5 linked regions of the Ovis aries genome follow. The protein of the gene in region 1 interacts with the protein of each later gene in a pairwise test. Links are inferred from orthologs where the notes say so. Each region holds a gene or a part of one and is shown in the gene's direction. Other genes may lie near its edges.

Region 1 (3,034 bases):
TTGGTATCAATCTTTGCCTTGAAGGTTTCTTGCTCTGCTTATAAAGGTTCTTATTTGGAGTATCTCTACATTATTTATTAGTCAGTAAAGGTAACCATGCTGCTTATAAGAGTTGCATATTGTTAAATTATGATGAACAGGTGATTCTTGAGGAGGAAAGGATCATTTGGACATCAAAGAGGATTCTTTTCATTGTCCACAGTCCTAATTGATTAACATCTTTTTTGTGGGGCTTTGGTCTGTTTATTAACTATTGATGTAAACAAGGGGAATAAAGAGATACTTTAAATACTCATGTATTTAAAGTACTTTAGCAGATACTTCCTATTGTGGTGCTTTGAATGTATGTGTTGAATTTATGCTTTTATCTTCACTTACAGAAACAGAAAGCTTCTGAAAACCAGAAGGCGAAAAGGTGGACGCGGAGGCCAGGACACAGGCCTCCATTCCCACAGGAGTGAAGCTACCACGCCTGGGAGGTCTCCTCCCACCCCAACCATCACCCTGGGGCCCGACTGCCCACCACCTCCGCCTCCTCCTCCCCCCAACGATCCTTCCTCCCCCTCCCATTCCCCCTGCAGCAGCCAGAGGGGCCAGTACAACCCCAACCTGGGGGAACGCCGGCGGGAGGATCTCTCGGAAGAGATCAACAACCTCAGAGAGAGGGTCATGAAGCAGTCCGAGGAGAACAACAACCTGCACAATCAGGTGCAGAAACTCACCGAGGAGAACACCACCCTCCGCGAGCAAGTGGAGCCCGCCGCCGAGGAGGAAGAGGACGACATTGAGCTGTGCGGCGCGGCCGCCGCTGCCGCCCCAGCCACCCCTATAGAAGAGGAGTGCCCGGAAGACCTTCCTGAGAAGTTTGACGGCAACCCAGACATGCTGGTTCCCTTCATGTCCCAGTGCCAGCTCTTTATGGAGAAGAGCACCCGCGATTTCTCTGTCGATCGCGTGCGTGTCTGCTTCGTGACCAGCATGATGACGGGCCGCGCCGCCCGCTGGGCCTCGGCCAAACTGGAGCGTTCTCACTACCTGATGCACAACTACCCAGCCTTCATGACCGAAATGAAGCACGTCTTCGAAGACCCCCAGCGGCGCGAGGCCGCCAAACGCAAGATCAGACGTCTGCGCCAGGGAATGGGGTCGGTGGTCGACTACTCTAATGCTTTCCAGATGATCGCGCAGGACCTGGATTGGAACGAGCCCGCCCTGATCGACCAGTACCACGAGGGCCTCAGCGACCACATCCAGGCGGAGCTGGCGCACCTCGAAGTGGCCAAGACGCTGTCGGCGCTGATCAGCCAGTGCATCCACATTGAGAGAAGGCTGGCCCGGGCGGCCGCTGCCCGCAAGCCGCGATCCCCGCCGCGTGCGCTGGTGGCCTCGCAAGTCAACAATCACCACCACCACCAGGCAGACCCGACCGAGCCCGTGGGGGGCGCCCGCATGCGCCTGACGCAGGAAGAGAAAGAGCGACGTCGCAAGCTGAACCTGTGCCTCTACTGTGGGAATGGAGGCCACTACGCTGACAACTGTCCTGCCAAGGCCTCGAAGGCTTCGCCGGCGGGAAACTCCCCGGCCCCGCTGTAGAGGGACCTTCAGCGACCGGGCCGGAATTAATAAGGTCCCCCCAAGATGATGCTGCGTCATCTCCACACTTGCAAGTGATGCTCCAGATTCATCTCCCGGGCCGACACAGCCTGTTCGTCCGAGCCATGATCGATTCTGGCGCTTCTGGCAATTTCATTGATCACGAGTACGTGGCCCAGAACGGCATTCCTCTGAGAATCAAGGACTGGCCCATACTTGTAGAAGCAATTGATGGACGTCCCATAGCATCGGGCCCAGTGGTCCACGAAACTCATGACCTGATCGTCGACTTGGGAGATCACCGCGAGGTGCTGTCGTTCGATGTGACTCAGTCCCCGTTCTTCCCCATCGTCCTGGGGGTGCGCTGGCTGAGCACACACGATCCCAACATCACGTGGAGCACCCGATCGATCGTCTTCGATTCCGAATACTGCAGATACCACTGCCGGATGTACTCTCCAATACCACCACTTCTCCCGCCACCAGCGCAACCCGTGTTCTACTACCCAGTAGAGGGGTACAGAGTTTACCAGCCTGTGAGATACTACTACGTGCAGAATGTGTACACCCCAGTGGATGAGAACGTCTACCCAGACAACCGTCTGGTGGACCCTAACATAGAGATGATCCCCGGAGCACACAGCATTCCCAGCGGGCACGTGTACTCACTGTCGGAGTCTGAAATGGCAGCCTTGCGAGATTTCATTGCCAGACACGTGAAGGATGGGCTGATCACTCCCACCATCGCGCCGAACGGAGCCCAAGTTCTCCAAGTGAAGAGAGGGTGGAAGCTGCAAGTTTCTTACGACTGCCGGGGTCCCAACGGCGTCACCATCCAGAATCAGTATCCTCGACTCACGATTCCAAATTTAGATGACCAAGCTCACCTGGCAACGTACACTGAATTCGTACCTCAAATTCCAGGATATCCGACCTATCCCGCCTATGCCGCGTACCCGACCTACCCGGTAGGATTCGCCTGGTACCCCGTGGGGCGAGATGGACACGGGCGATCCCTCTATGTCCCCGTGGTGATCACCTGGAATCCCCATTGGTACCGCCAGCCGCCAGGGCCCCAGTACCCGCCGCCTCAGCCGCCGCCGCCGCCACCCCCGCCGCCACCGCCGCCTCCTTCTTACAGCACCCTGTGAATAGGCATCCTGCCCTTCAGGATCTCTACCCTCAAAATGAACTCCTGTTCAGCTTCTCATCAGTGACTGTGTGCTACATTGGGCCACTGCACCTTCAGACCAACCTGAGCACAGGCTTTCCTCTGAAATGGTTACAGAAGGTCAGGGCCACCCTGGACTGACACCCATCTCAAAGCACCCACTGACCTCCACTGTTTGGTGGGAGCAACAAAATATTTACCAACAAATTATCTCTGCTTTTCCACCTTAACTGCCAACCTAATTAAAATTCGTAACAAGTTTACTTCCCA
Region 2 (4,222 bases), on another chromosome or scaffold:
TGTTATATGCAAAATCTCAGTTCACAGCTTTTCTCAAGTCCCCTGCCTCTGTCTCTCTAAATAGTGGTTCCCATCTACATTTCTGCTGTGCGAGCATGCCATTAGCAGCATCAATCTAAAAGGAGTCTGCTCCTTTTGACAAGAAACAAGGCATTTCTCCACTGTTTCTCAGAAATATGGAGTAAGTGCTCTGCCAGGACCTCTCCCCTCATTAGTTCAACAAATATTCACTGATCACCTCCGCCTTAGAGTGACCAAAACCAACAAGGTCCTTGGCTACCGTTCTATACCGGAGGCACAGGCGCCACGACTTTTTATAAGTATTTTATCTTTATTTATTTGGCTGCACTGGGTCTTGCAGTTATGGCATGCAGGATTTTTAGCTGCAGCATACGAACTCTTTAACTGCCGGCACGTGGGACCTAGTTCCCTGATCAGGGATGAAACCCAGGCCCCCTGCATTGGAAGCGCGGAGTCTCAGTCACTGGACCACCAGGGAAGTCCCAGAAAGATTTTTTTTTTAACGCAGTTTATTTAAAAATCAGAATTGGAGCAAAGAAACACGGGGCACCATAAAAGTCCCTGAAAGGGCAACTGATGTCTCTCTCCTCCTCCTTGAAAGTAGACCGTATTGAGAAGAAAGTCTTTCCCTTACAAACACAATTTTCTCCAGCTCCTGAGGGGAGAGGTCACACCCTTCTCCCGTATTCTCCAAGCGGCCTCCCCTGGGGATGGGCGGCAATTAAGTAACTACCTCGCTCTCTCCAAGTTTTCTCCCTCCCTTAGGGTCACAAAGGAGCTGCCTGGCTTTTCTTCTCCTAAGGAAGTGGAAGTTATTCCCTTGCATGTCCTGTCCAAGTGGTTCTCCCAGCCCTCGTCCTTTCTCTCACAGCCCTTCCTTCACTTCCTACAGGGACCTAAGGGAACCCCCTCTCTCTGAAGACTGCATAAACATTCCTATACCTCTTTCGAGAAAACTTTCAGGTGCTCCAGGTACTCACAGATCTAGCCAGCCCACGAGCCCCAAGCAGCCGCAGGAGCGGGAGGCCCGCCCGTCCCAAGCCTCGACTTGGTCTCCAAACCCTCGCCGCCGCAGCCGCCACCGCCATCTTGGCTGACCATCCCTCGGAGATCCGCCCCTCTCCTCGGCGAGACCGGGGCTGCCCCTTCATAAGCCTGACTCAAATGCCAGCAACACCCTGCCAAGAAACCATACGCTACTAGTTCTGCAGCCTCTGGGACACACATGTAGGTGCATAAAGCCACCTAACTTCCCAAAATTACTCTGACCGCCTCACGTTAGTTATTCCTGTAACCGGCAAAGAAGAGGACAACCCGTCCAGAGCCTCAGGGTTTCAGGGCCGGGGGCCTCGGGTAGGACGAGCTCATGCCAAGGCCCGCCCACTCTTCTCTTCTGTCCAATGGCTTTCCTGGACTTTCGAGGCGGGAGTGGGAGGGTCCAGATTGTTAGTAAACGCCGAGCCACGTGCGGGCGCCACTCCTGGAGCCCCCGGGTCGGCGCGTGCGTACAGCGTACGCACCTCGTACGCAAGCGCGCGCTTCTGGGAGGAAGCAACAAGCCCCGGCTGCACGTGGGCTCCGGGGCTATGGAGGGGGCAATGCAGACTGAATCGAAGATTCGGGCTGATTCTCGGACAGAGCCCGGCCCTAGGGGCCCCGGCTGTAGCCTCCGGCACTTTGCCTGCGAACAGAACTTGTTGTCCCGGCCTGATGGCTCTGCCTCTTTCCTGCAAGGTAGGAACTACTAGGTTGTATTATTTGGTGGGGCGGGGGGCGGTTACAATGTATCGCGCTAGCTGGTAAAAATCTCTCCTGAACTAGTGCAGTTCTTGCCTGGGTGGACACTACTGTATACGCAGGTAGACATATATCTCTCCCTCCAGACTAGCAAGGAGAAGATTGTTAAAGTACGCAGAATGGGAGAGGGCAGACCGCTTCTAAAGAATGAATACTCCAGAATAGGGGAAATATTCTTACCCCGGGGTCTCCCTTGACTGGATTCCTCTCCGGTTTCCCATACACGCACCCTGGGTCCATACATCCCAGGCTGAGGCAAACCTGTTTGTTTGCATAAATACCCAGTGGACTGTCAGATCACCACTTCTGGTGTACTCCCTAGCCCGGTGGCAGATCTTTTATCCAAATAGTTACTTCTCAGATGGATGGTGATGTCCCCAGCCCCACCTCTTGGGTAAATGTCCCTTTGGCTGGGATACACAACTCTGCTTATATCCCTAAGATTGGAGCAGTTCTTACCTATTAGGGAAATATCCCCTTTTCCTAGCTAAACAACTCTGAAACTAGACTCAGTTCCCTGACGCCTCTGAGGGAAATGTTCCTCTGGAGATAGGCCTAAGGGTCACCCCCATAAATGCTTCAGACCCTGCTCTAGGGCATTACCTGAAACCCAAATACAAAACCTGCTTTCATTCATTCTTTCATTGAACATGTACCTTTGCTTAGTATTGTTCTGGACACTGAGAATAAGTAAATAAATTTTTTAAAAATCCCTGCGGTAACGGATTTGACATTCTTACATTCTAGTCAGAGAGACAGGCAAAAGATAAGTAAAATATGTAGTAGAAAACAAGAAAAATACAGTAAGGGTGTAGATTGGGGTGTGCCAGAGAGGGTTGCAGTCTTAATTAGGATGGTCAGGAAAGGCATCAACTGAGATGGTACCTTTTGAATAAACACTTAAAGATGGGACTTTCCTGGTGATCCAGTGGCTAAGACTGAGCTCCCAATGCAGAGGGCCTGGGTTCAGTCCTTGGTAAGGGAACTAGATCCCACATGGTGCAACTAAGAGTTCGCATGCCCCAACTAAAGATCCTGCGTGTTGCAGTGAAGACCCAGTACAGCCAAATAAAAAAATTTTAAAGCAGTTTCTTTCCCTAAAATTGGCTTTTTGCAGGGGGAGCAAACCCTAAACAGATCAAGAGGAAAGCTTATGAAGCATTAGGAACCACAGGGCCCTGAGGCCAAAACTTGCCTGGTGTGTTTGAGGGACAGTCAGGGGGACGGGGTGCCTGCAGCGGTGACAGGAGGTGGGGTGGCGATAAGGAGACCTGCCCCTCATATAAAGTCTAGTGACTGAGAATGGAGACTTGTGACATGCTCTGAATATATATTTTTTTTATAGATTTTAGACTTTCTGGCTGCAGTGTTGATGGCAAAGGGCACGGGGGAAAGGAGAGGAGGGTGGTGCAGACCAGAGTGGAAGCAGTACAGGTGGTGAGAGTCTGAAGGCAAACTGATAAATTGCAGCTGGTTTGGTTTGGGGGTGTGACAGGGTCAGTTTTTTACCCAGACCAGCTGTGCTGGGAGACAATGAGTTCAGTTGGGAACATTACATTTGCAAGGCCTAATAGACTCTCCCATGGCAGTGTGGATTCGGCAGTCGGACATACAAGGCTGGAATTTGGGAGTCCTTTGGCAGTTCAAGCTACTGATTGGATAGAATCAACAAGAGAATCAATATAGGTGGAGAAGAGAACTTAGAACTTAGCCCTTTGCCTTCTAGCCTGGGTGGAGCTAGGAAAAGACATAGAGAAGGAGCAACTAGTAAGGTAGGAGAAAAACCAAGAGAGGGCAGCGACCTGGAGCCCAGAGAACGTGTCTGAAATGTAAGGACCAACCGTTTTGGTCCGGCTGAGAGACTGAATCGTGAGGATGGACTAGACCTGTGGGTTGACAACCTGGTTGTCTATTGTAGGTGGTGCAGCCAAGAGTCACTCTGGGACTTCCCTGGTTAAGATTCTGAGCTCGTAGTGCAGGGGACACAGGTTCGATCCCTGGTCCAGCAAGCTTCACATGCCTTGCATCACAGCTACTTGAGCCCACACACCCTAGAGCCTGTGCTCCACCACAAGAGAAGCCAGTGCAATAAGAAACCTACATATCACAACGAAGACCCAACGCACAGCCAAAAATAATAAGTAAAATGTAAAAAAGAAAAAGCTGTTCCGGTGGAGGGGTGGAGTCGAGGAAAAGAAAGAGACAGTGAGCAGAGACCGCTCTTCAGGAACTTTGCTGTAAAAGGATAAGATAGATGGGCGAGGAGTTAGATGGATGTGGGGTCCACAGGGGAGGGAATTGCTAGAGCCATGGCCTCAGGAAGATGAGAAGAGAGGCACTCTTGTGCCCAGGTGAAGCACAGACAGTGCCTTTGGAGTAACAGGAAGGAAGACCCCGGTGTGGA
Region 3 (3,360 bases), on another chromosome or scaffold:
AAGTGCTGTATGATATAATGGCTACTGGTGTGATAAATGCTGTGCAGAGAAATGAAGTGAGGCAAGGGGTTAGAGATTACTGGCAGAGAATGGGGTGCTCTGATAGGTGAAGTGGTTAGGAAAGTCCTCTTTGAAACCCGAGGGAGAAAGAGTCAGGCAGTCAAATGAGGAGAGAGCCTTCCAAGGCAGGAAAAATAGAAAGTACAAAGGTCCTGGGGCCAGAGCTACTTGTGTGCAAGAATCAGCAGAGAGAACAATGTGGTTAGAGCACAGCAGGAACTGAGAGGAGGCGCAGATGAGGTAGGGCCTGGTAGGCCATTACCAAGACTTTGGTTTTTCTTTTGACTGATAAGGGAAAACTATTGGAGGGTTTACAGCAGGGAGGGGAAGTGATCTAACTTTTGTTCTAAAGGAGTCCTGTCCTTACTCTGGGGAATACATACACTATAGGAAGAGAAGAATGGAAGTTAAGTGGTTAGTTTCAACAGCCTGTGTGAGAAAGGAGGGCTGGGACCAGGGTGGTATTGGTAGAAGTAACAAGAAGTGATTCGACTGGGAATATATTTTAAAAGGTGTTCCAACAGAATGTGGTGGCCCAGAGGCTGTCTCCCCAACTCATTTGTCAACTATTTGAATAATCGCATTCAAAGTAGAAAAGCAAAGCCATTTTTAAAACACAAGTGTTTATTGTTAAGCAGGGGATAAATACCCAGTAGTCAAGGGACACTAACATTAGGACAGAAATAGAGTCAAAGATAGGCAGGACTCCTGCAAATGGTGATTGGATGCTAAATTTTGCAGAACTTTTTACACTTTGCTATTTACAAAAATAATTTTAAACAAAGGGATAGAAGTACACAATACTATTTTCCAACCAAAGAAAAATCCCTTTTAAATATCGCTTTGTCATGAAAGACAGGACCCCTGAGGGTCTTTCATAACTCTTACAGGGTGTGACGCTGGCGTGCAGCCAGCACTGCTAACGGTTCTTTGGGTGAGGGAGATTTCATAAGCCAAGAAATGTGTTAAAACCACTCAGAGGGAACCCAGGGGCTACTGGCCCTCCAAGGAACACCGAGATGTATGAGTCGGCTTGGCTGAAGGGTGGTGAGTCCTTTAAACCTGAGCAGGTTGAACCTCTCTGAGAGATGGGTCTTTTGCGCTTGCACGGTCCAGGCTACGGCCCGACCCACATCCAAGGTTGGGTCTTCGCCTTTATCCAGCGGCCCCCGGACCTGCGAGCGCGGACGCCGAGCCCTAGTCCGGGCCACCCCGGCCCCGCCCCTTGCCTTCCCCGGCCCCGCCCCTTGCCTTCCCCGGCCCCGCCCCTTGCCTTCCCCGGCCCCGCCCCCTCCAGCCGGGCGGTGCCTGAGCGGGGCCGTCAGCTCGGCTGTGTGGGCGGAGCTTGCGCCGCCGCCGGGACCCCTGCGCGCACCGCCCCTCGCTCCTAGCCACCGCGCGTCTCCTCTGACACGCACTTCCTGCGAGGCCTCCGAGAGCACCTTAGCCTAGCCGAATCGAGCTGCGCCCTGCCCTGCCTTTCCAAGCTGTTCGCCATGGTGGATGAGCTGGTCCTGCTGCTGCACGCGCTTCTGATGCGGCACCGCGCCCTTAGCATCGAGAACAGCCAGCTCATGGAACAGCTTCGGCTGCTGGTGTGCGAGAGGGCCACCCTGCTGCGCCAGGTACGTCCGCCGAGCTGCCCTGTGCCCTTCCCCGAAACGTTTGACGGCGAGAGCTCCCGGCTCCCCGAGTTTATCGTGCAGACGGCGTCTTACATGCTCGTCAACGAGAACCGATTCTGCAACGACGCCATGAAGGTGGCATTCCTGATCAGCCTGCTCACCGGGGAAGCCGAGGAGTGGGTGGTGCCCTACATTGAGATGGATAGCCCCATCCTGGGCGATTACCGGGCCTTCCTCGATGAGATGAAACAGTGTTTTGGCTGGGATGACGACGAAGAAGACGAAGACGAAGATGAAGAAGATGAGTATTAGGCCCGGAGACCCTCGGGCCTAGAGGGGGAAGGGCACTGCCCTCCGCCACCCCCGCTGCCTCCCCGCCTCGCCCCGCCCGGAGCCACCGCGCTCCCCTAACGCTGTGATCCCCTGGCCTTTCCCTCCCCTCTGGTTGTCTTCCTCACCCTCCACTCTCTGCCGTAGTGCTTGTCTTTGTTCCAGGCATAGTGCTCTCTAGTCACCTGCTGCTGAGGCTGGGGCGTCTCTGAAGTGCACTCTGCTGCCCACTCTGGCCAGCCCCAGGACCCTCACTGCTCGTTAGAACTGTGTTCTGAGCCCCAGCTCTAGGGCAAGCCCCTCTTACAAACCGGTCAGCCTATACTCTGCCTTGCTGACTGTCAGGCCTGCACCTCTGCCCAGCGACCTGCGCTGCCACCCAAGCACCCTCCACCAGATTCCAGCGATAGACCCGGCCTTTGGAGATCAGGAACAATCTAGAAGATGCCTTTGTGGGCTACACCTCCTGGGACACTGATTTGGACTGCTCACCAACAACTCCACCCCCCTCCCCAGGGGCTAATCTTTCAACTTGATTAATTGTTCCCTACTAACTCCAGGTCTTCCTCCTGGCCCACCAGATTGCTGCAGGGGCCCATTGTGCCTGGCAACCCAATTGTTGACATTTCTCCTATGCATCAGTTTTGCACACCCGTCATCTTCATTTCAAAATTGCAGCAGTCCCATCGAGGTGTGCATTTGGACAAAAATACTAAAAACCGAACAATACAAACAAAAGCAAGTACTCAGCCCAGCTCCTCAATGCTACCTGGAAAAAGCATTTGCATTCTTTTCAATAAATTTCAAGCACTACCAAAAAAAAAAAAAAAAAACAACAACAGCAAGTGTCTTTTCATGGTTAAGGGCTATCATTGGCCTTTGCCACTTTCACCCTGACTCATTATTCCCACTGGCATCAGGGAATCTCATTCAACTTTCAATCTCTGTACTCCCCACTGTCACGACTAAACTCCAGAGGACAGTTACTACAGGGCTTTATGGGGAAACTGGTACTACCCCCACTGATGCCTTTCTTATAGCCCTGGTGAAGGGAGTGTTCTCTGGTGCTTCTGAGGTGGCATGGGTAAGGGGTGGCTGAGCAGGCAGGTGGCACACCATCCCAAACTGGGACAATTTTGAGAGAGCTTCAAGGGGACACTATTAATAATTAGACTGGAACAACAAGTACAAGTCAGGACACACAATATTTCTATTTTCATGAACTTTGGGGTTCTTCCTCAACATGGTCAGAGATGTTCTGCCTGTTAACTCTTAGTGCCTGTGGGGTGCTATTGATTTTAGGCTTCAATACATAGTGTAGCACATTGTTTTAAAACCCCTTTTA
Region 4 (3,972 bases), on another chromosome or scaffold:
TGTATAGGTTCTTTGGAAGTCTGGGAAAACATTTTTTTGCTTGAGAAATGTCATCCCTTTTACTTGTTTTTACAAATTTGGACTCTGTCCTAAATCTGTCTGAAGTTTTTCTGCTCTAAAACATTTGGAGTCTCCTGGTCTAGAAACCTGAGACCTATTTAGAATGAATATGTATTAGAAAATTAAAACATAGATTATTGTAATTTATATTTTTCAGTGAACAGACTTTTCAGTTATATTTCTGTTCCTAATGATGTTTTCTGTAGCCTAATACCAAAATGACATTGAGGTGATTGAACACACTACTAATAGGGTGGGGAAGTGATCAAGAGTTAAAATTTTATGCTAAAAATGGCCAATTTAGAGCACAGGGTTCACACTCACACCAGGTCTTGGTGCCTTTAAAGGCTGCACTAAGCATGATGTAATGACAGGTTAAACCTCTGAATGCCTGAGCTGACGCAATGCAGATTGGAGGCCCTGGACTTTACTGGGGCAAGGGTAATGCTTATTTAAAAACAAAACAAGCTACTCTGTTTAATGAGGCCGTTTAAGATGGTTTTCCTAGAGTGGGAAGAGAATAAAATCTAAATTTGAGGGTTAAAGCAGGAGTTTAATATGGTTATGTGTGCTTAGTACTCTCACTACAAAATCTCGAAGGGAGAAGGAGTTTAAGGTGCAGATGGTGGTAAAAATGGAGAAGCGAGTTACAGTTGTGGAGATAAGGTAGTTAACGCCCGTCAAATAGTTATTGAACGAAGTACGGAGAATGCTTTTACTTTGTAAAAATCTAGCGTCCGCAGGGTTAACTGGCAGAATATAGTGCAGAGATGCTTGTCTGGTCGCGTATTTCCCATATATTCTGTGTAGACCTTTGGGTTGAAACCATGCAAAATTGCCCATATCCGACTGTTTGGGCCTACAGAAATGGAGTTCAGCCTTCTAGTAAGCTGATGGCTTGCGCAGTATCGCCGGGGAGTGAGGATCGGGGGGGTTTTACGCCGGGTTTTACTCGGCTGGGTGCCTGGGTGGGAGTTGCACGCTCCTTGCCCAGGAGCCGCTTGGGAGCTGCCCCAGACGGAGTGGGGCGGAGCCTTAAGCCCCGCCCCCGCACGCCGCCCCGCCTCTCGCCATCCGCGGCAGCCGCCGCCCTGTGCAGAGAGAGCCTGCGGCCCCCTGGCACTGCGTTGGCGCAGGCTTCCCTCCTGCGGGCCGGATCCTGCAGTAGTAGCTTGAGCTGGCACCGAGAGCGCACGTAGTCGACCAGTGGCCTCTACGCACCCTTCTGCCCTGTTCTTCACCGAGCTGGCAGGAGCCTAGCCGATGAATTTGGGGAAGACAGACTTCCGAGACAGACGAAGGTTTAGGGCCCAGCAGAGGACAGCTCAGCAATGGCTCCCATTTTTGGAGACGCAGGCAAATTTCAGCTCCTGGGGAGGTGTGGTCGACTCCTCTTGGAACAGGAGGGGGCATCAGTTCTCTTCTTCAGTAGCCAGTGCTTCTGAGGAGTGAATGGAGTGTATGGAGTAGGGCATGTGCCTTCTTTTGAAAACTAGACCCGGGACATGTTTAGTAACAGAAGATATCCAGGAGAGCCCTCCGTTGCAAGTTGTCTTTGCTTCTGGGGGAAAGGCTATGAGCTCTCTGACTTATGACCGGGAAGTCTCCCTTACCTTTTCTGTACTCCTGGAGAGGCATCTTGCTCACTTGTTTACCAGCATCTGGGACAAGGAAGAGAAAAGGTACTGCTATTAAGAGACTGTGTTGCTTAAACTGTGGAACGGGAAAGTTGTTTTGAGCCTCTGAAACGGACCAGGGAATTGCTGCAACAAAATTGAGCAGGCAGTGATTTCTTTTGATCAGCTGTGCTTTTCTCAGTTTAAACCAAACTTCGGGTTATGTCATGACTGCTGCAGAGCTGTCCAGACACTTAAGTCCTTGGTTCCTACTGCACGGCTGCTGTGCTGTGTGTGGATTACTTTTCTGTGTAAGATGGACTGAGTTCCGCCTGCCGAACTTTGGGAAGTTTTAGCAGCTACTGTCCTGTAATACTTAAATTCACCAGAAATTGAAGCCATATTTTGCTTGTTTTCACACTTTGAATAGTAATTTTAAGTTGTGCTTTGTATGTTTGGGAAAATAATGATGTATATTATAATGTGAATCTGGACTATTGATAAATGTATAACTTTTTCTAGGTCACAAAATTAAACAGTAATATTTTTCTTGCTTAGTAGTTATATTATGTTGAATACAAACTGAGTTTAGTGACCAGCTGGTTTTGGTTTAGTGATTTGAAAGGAATCAGCTTAGATTTTGTGCCCAGGGAATTACTTCCCAGTTACTATGTTGCTCTCTTAAATGAGCCGCATAAAATGGACCATGAAATAAGCATACATACGGGACACTTCAGCAATGCTAAGCCATTGTTTTACTAGTGACCTAAAATAAAATGCATGGATCATCATATGCAGAAAAAATCTCAGAGGTAAACTGGATTTCATGAAAGTTCCTTTATAGTGTTTTTGTTGGGCTGAACACTGGTTATACAGGGCTTCAGTGATGAGAGTTGATTCCTGTTGTCTTAAATCTATGCGATGAGCCATGTTATGATAGAATCCTTGTGATACTTTTGTTTCCCCGTGAACTCTAGAATATTCCTTTAGTGACAGTGGAATTGACCTATTTTGGGGTTTCCTGGGGGAGAGGGTTCACTCTCAACCCCCATTTAAGGTGTCTGTCCTTGAGTAATCTGCGAGTGTGTGCTTGTGCTCAGTCGATCAGTACCTGGGGTCTGACTCTTTGTGACTCCGTGGACTGTAGCCCACCAGGCTCCTTGGTCGATGGGAATTTCCCAGGTGAGAATACTGGAGTGAGTTGCGATTTCCTCCTCCAGGGGACCTTTCCGACCCAGGGATCGGTACTGTGTCTTCTGCCTTGGCTGGTGGCTTCTTTACCACCGAGCCACCTGGGATGCCCTGTCTATGAGTAATAGAATCCAAATTGCATTTATGTGGTCTCATTGATAACCAGCATTAGTTTTTCAACGTTGAATTCTAACAGAATAACAATTATAATTAAGGAAACATTAACTTTTAGGAGTTGTTAAATTTTGATTTTGTAGAGATATGGCTTGTGGTTATTGAGTATATACTCTTAGGACATTAATGGACTGATTTTTTGTCATCCCCAAGAAAGCAGTGCACTACATCCTGGGAAAAGGCGCTTGTTTTATCTTTAATTCAGCTTGACAGGTTAGTTAACGTTGTTGATCATTTTTTCCAGATGGCATTTATTTCTTAAATAATGTTTAGTACTGTGCTGATGAATGCTTCAGCAACTCTGGTGAACTCTATAATAGAATATAAGGAATTCTTTACCTGTTGACTCTGTCCCTCACCCCTAATGTTGTGTCTTTCTGATACTGTTTATTCTTTATCTTTTCCTGACTTTCCTTCCTCTTTGCAAATTATACCAGATTTATATTGTAGAGCGGAAGTAGAGCAGAATGATTTAGTTCTGAATACCAGACTCATACCTTTTAGAGGGTGGTCCTCTATTTCTCCTATATGCTTCCTCACTTTTGAAGGGGGCCACAGATGGGTAGGAAATAAGATGAAGATCTAGCTGGGGTTAACATTCCATGGAGATGGATGATGGGATGGCAGGAGACCTTCCCTTCCCCAGATAGATCTCTTTAGCAGATAATATTCACCCTTAGAAAGAGTAATCAGAAGCCAGTACCCTGGTGATCCTTTGGATCATGTATAACTCACTGAGGCTGTCAACAGCTGACTTAAGAATGGGGAAGAAATAGAATGAGCAGGGCAGTTGAACACAGGCAGGGGAAATTCCAGTCAGAACTGATTTCATTGAACTTAAACTGTTTATACAGTGTTCCTTAGTGGTTTAGGATCCAGGTTTCTGTTCTAGCGTTTATTCCATGTAGTCCATTCAAGGATGAGTTTTTAA
Region 5 (3,517 bases), on another chromosome or scaffold:
TACAACATCAGCAGTGTGTCACACAACTATGCCCGGGCCGTGCTGTCGCAGCCCTGCAGCACTCTGCAGCTCACCGTGCTTCGCGAGAGGCGCTTCGGAAGCCGCGCGCACGGCCACCCCGAGGGCAGCGCGCCCCGGGAGGAAGTCTTCCCAGTGGTGCTGCACAAGCGGGACTCTGCTGAGCAGCTAGGCATCAAACTCGTGCGCAGAACCGACGAGCCGGGGGTCTTCATCCTTGACCTGTTGGAAGGGGGGCTGGCGGCCCAGGATGGTCGGCTGAGCAGCAACGACCGGGTGCTGGCTATCAATGGCCACGACCTGAAGCACGGGACGCCTGAGCTGGCCGCCCAGATCATCCAGGTGAGCCCTGCCCGCGCCCACTGCGCTTGCCCAGTCTCCCCTTGGAGCTCAATGTGCGTTCCCAACAGCAGGTAACAGTGATTGGTCCGGGGTGGTGCAACGTCACCTCACCATCCAGCCAGGCCACCTAAATTCTTCCATACTGTCTAATCCATGCTAGTCCTGCCTCTTCCCAGCTGATCTACACCCCCATGACCTTCTAGGTGGGCTGTTTCTAAAGGCCCTTTGGTGCAGGTGGCCGGTGGTGGTGTCCACACTTCACATGTGGACTTGTGGGAGCAGCAAGACCCCAGGGGCTGTAGTCACCGAAGGTGCGACTCACCTGGTCTCTCCACTCCCCTGCACTTCTCAGTCCATAAAAATAGGGGAAGGTAACTTACTATTCAGAGTATCTCTATAGTGCCTTTTTAAAAAAATATAATATTCTCTGGAAGTAGGTTGTCATTATTAGAGAAAAGAAATGTATTTTCAGTAACAGCATCAAAACAGATGAGTTAAAAACCAGAGACGATCTTTAGGTTCTAGGATGCCATGGCATCTGAGGGGGAGTGGGGAAGGGAGGGGGCTTCCCACAGCCTTACAGAAAGGTAAAGCAAAATGGGTTTTCTTAAGGAGGCACAACACATATTGCAGTGGAAACCAAGCATCTGTTAATTGAATATCTGAAATTAAGATAGGTTGATAGTCATGAAATATGTATATGTACATAGAATCAAATAACCGTGAGGTTTTAAGACTAAGAAAACCCAGGTTTTGCTCCCCCTTTGACCTACTCCCCCCCGCCTTTTTTTTTTTTTTTTTTTTCACTTTTTGGTAAATGTAGCCTTCAGGAAACACTCAAAGCCATACTGCACTGAGAGGAATTTCAGGCATTGGTCTTATTTCATAGACTTCAAGCTTAAAGAAATCGAATGCCTTGACATTCCCTCACATCAGAGGCAGCACTCAGGGCACCAGGGGCTATACCTGTGGGTTGCATCAGCTGCTGCACTGCTGAGAACAGTTTATCTTGTGTGTGGGGGGGAAGTTAACCCAGTTTGGAAATTTGTTAAAGGAAATGAGTGAGTTGCATAGGCTTTTTGAAGTGAGAAGTCAGTAAGATAGCCAAGAAGAGAGCAATATATATTGACTGTGTCTCAGGCAGTGTTCTAAATTTCTAACCAAAATGTGGAAAATATAGTTACACAGGTAGAAAACACACTTAAAATTTTTCATCAGTAATACATTTATTTGGATTTTTATAATTTAAATAGTTACATCATATTTTGTGTTGTGATTTTTTTCCCCCAAGGCATAGAAAACTCAAGTTGCTCAATTTAAGTTTCTTTTTGAGAAAAATGAATGGGTTTGACCCCTGGGTTGGCAAGATCCCCTGGAGAATTCCATGGGCAGAGGAGCCTGGCAGGCTACAGTTCGTGTGGTCACAAAGAGTCAGACACAACTGAGCAACTTTCACTTTCATTAATCTTATTGAGGATTGTAAAAATAGATTCTGTGTCTAAAATGGAAATAAAATACCAAAGATAAAATATTGAAAATATGTTAAAATTGAATTTGCACTAAACACTGCAAGCGATGTCAACATTGTTTGGAGAACATCCTTACAAACTCCTGAGTGTATATGTCCACAGACAGACACACATTTATGCAACACATGCACTTACCTTGTAAGTTCTGAATTTGCAGCTTTGTGTCTGCAGTATGTTGTGAACATCCTAACTATGAAAGGAAGTGTAGAACTGTGTCCTGATCTTCACCAGCTGGTTGACTCCGTCATCTCCTATTGACAGACTTGCATGTTTTGTTTTCATTTTAAAAGAAAGTTACCCTTCAAGAAGTCCTGGGGAGGAAGAACACCTTCTTGGGGAGGTGGACTGCTCTGCCTGGGTTGTTGGGGAGGGAGGTCTGGGGAGGGTCTGTCCAAGAGCTGTGTGTGTATTTCAGCGGCAGACACCTTGAACCACAAGCTCACAAGACCAGCTCCCTTCCTCCTACCACCAGGCACTTGCAGCCACCCCAGGCAAGGCGCTGGCGCAGTGATGGGAAGTACTTGTGCTCTGCGAAATGAGAAACATCGGTAATGACTGGTGGCTGTGTCTGTATTTCCTCCAGGCCAGCGGAGAGAGGGTGAGTTTAACAATTGCCAGACCAGGGAAACCCCAGCCTGGAAGCACTGTCCGAGAAGCAGGAACTCAGAGCAGCAGCCAGCACCACGCACAGACGTTGCCTTACAGTAGACCCAGCTCGCATAAGGTGAGGCGCCTGCTCATGGTTCTGAATTCATCCACCCTCCAAGGATAAGTCATTATAAGCTGGTGACACTGGAATGAGGGCTGTGCGCTCCTGGAGAAGGTGCACAGAAGTGTTTGTGCAGTGTGTGTGTCCTGCCACCATGGAGAGTGCCTGTCTCAGTCCCTCAGTCAGTAGTTTCTTGGTGGGGAAGGCCTCCTGCCAGGTGATTAATGAGAAGTAATTGTCCAGAAAAATCTTTGGTTTGTTTAATTCTGTTTGAAAGTGGGACTTAACTTGCTCATTTAAATGAAAAGTTTACATAATTGAAAAGGCATAATGAAGACAGTGATTGACAGCCTGTACTTAGCAACTGTAGGTAGCTTGCCTAAAACAGAATTAGACATGTGAATATTAAACATATAACTCATAAATTTTGACAGCTACATGTATAGCATATATAATTTTATCTGCTAGAACAGGAAGACTATTCTAGAATAGGAAGACTACCCTAAATCTTTTTAAAATTCCTGTATGTTTTATCCCTGCTTCTTCAGTATTTCACTGGTTTTATAACATATTCCAAAGTCTTTTACTTGTGCTGAGAATTTTGATACTGTCTCACTTAAGTTGCAGAAATTTAAAGAGGGTTTGTAGTTCCTTCTTGCTAAATGAGCTTCCACAGTCAATCTCTTTAAGTAAAATTAAATTTCTTTACTAAACAAAAACATCTGTTGGTCTGCTTAAAACCACAGGAAGTTCCCTGTGTGTTCAAATGACTTAGTGTAAGGAGAGTATTTGAGAGAATACTTACCTTTGGAATGTCACAGGGACCCTGAGAAAAGCACCCCTTAACAGCAGAAGTATTTTTGGCCTGTCAGGTGTATCTGATTTCCTAGCTTAAGTACAGACTTGTCACTGGTTTCTG

The links.
Region 2: the proteins of PEG10 (region 1) and EXOSC5 interact in binary tests that used the Homo sapiens proteins (3 or more experiments, as listed by UniProt). The link is inferred for Ovis aries from reciprocal best matches to the Homo sapiens genes PEG10 and EXOSC5.
Region 3: the proteins of PEG10 (region 1) and LDOC1 interact in binary tests that used the Homo sapiens proteins (3 or more experiments, as listed by UniProt). The two-hybrid records come from large-scale screens. The link is inferred for Ovis aries from reciprocal best matches to the Homo sapiens genes PEG10 and LDOC1.
Region 4: the proteins of PEG10 (region 1) and SIAH1 interact in binary tests that used the Homo sapiens proteins (3 or more experiments, as listed by UniProt). The link is inferred for Ovis aries from reciprocal best matches to the Homo sapiens genes PEG10 and SIAH1.
Region 5: the proteins of PEG10 (region 1) and LNX2 interact in binary tests that used the Homo sapiens proteins (3 or more experiments, as listed by UniProt). The link is inferred for Ovis aries from reciprocal best matches to the Homo sapiens genes PEG10 and LNX2.

Annotation. Positions count from the first base shown.
Region 1 is NC_056057.1:12,839,511-12,842,544, forward strand, and holds the end of PEG10 (retrotransposon-derived protein PEG10), read left to right. Parts: intron 1-380; coding exon 381-1,593; 3' UTR 1,594-2,530; downstream 2,531-3,034.
Region 2 is NC_056067.1:50,093,138-50,097,359, reverse strand, and holds the start of EXOSC5 (exosome complex component RRP46), read left to right. Parts: upstream 1-1,420; 5' UTR 1,421-1,421; coding exon 1,422-1,755; intron 1,756-4,222. Other genes in the region: BCKDHA (2-oxoisovalerate dehydrogenase subunit alpha, mitochondrial), read right to left, coding at 1,002-1,109. UniProt on the Homo sapiens protein: Non-catalytic component of the RNA exosome complex which has 3'->5' exoribonuclease activity and participates in a multitude of cellular RNA processing and degradation events.
Region 3 is NC_056080.1:94,166,920-94,170,279, reverse strand, and holds LDOC1 (protein LDOC1), read left to right. Parts: upstream 1-1,474; 5' UTR 1,475-1,556; coding exon 1,557-1,997; 3' UTR 1,998-2,854; downstream 2,855-3,360. UniProt on the Homo sapiens protein: May have an important role in the development and/or progression of some cancers.
Region 4 is NC_056067.1:16,329,732-16,333,703, reverse strand, and holds the start of SIAH1 (E3 ubiquitin-protein ligase SIAH1), read left to right. Parts: upstream 1-1,155; 5' UTR 1,156-1,651; coding exon 1,652-1,742; exon of another isoform or gene 1,743-2,488; intron 2,489-3,194; exon of another isoform or gene 3,195-3,254; intron 3,255-3,972. UniProt on the Homo sapiens protein: E3 ubiquitin-protein ligase that mediates ubiquitination and subsequent proteasomal degradation of target proteins.
Region 5 is NC_056063.1:32,661,741-32,665,257, forward strand, and holds part of LNX2 (ligand of Numb protein X 2), read left to right. Parts: coding exon 1-360; intron 361-2,472; coding exon 2,473-2,613; intron 2,614-3,517.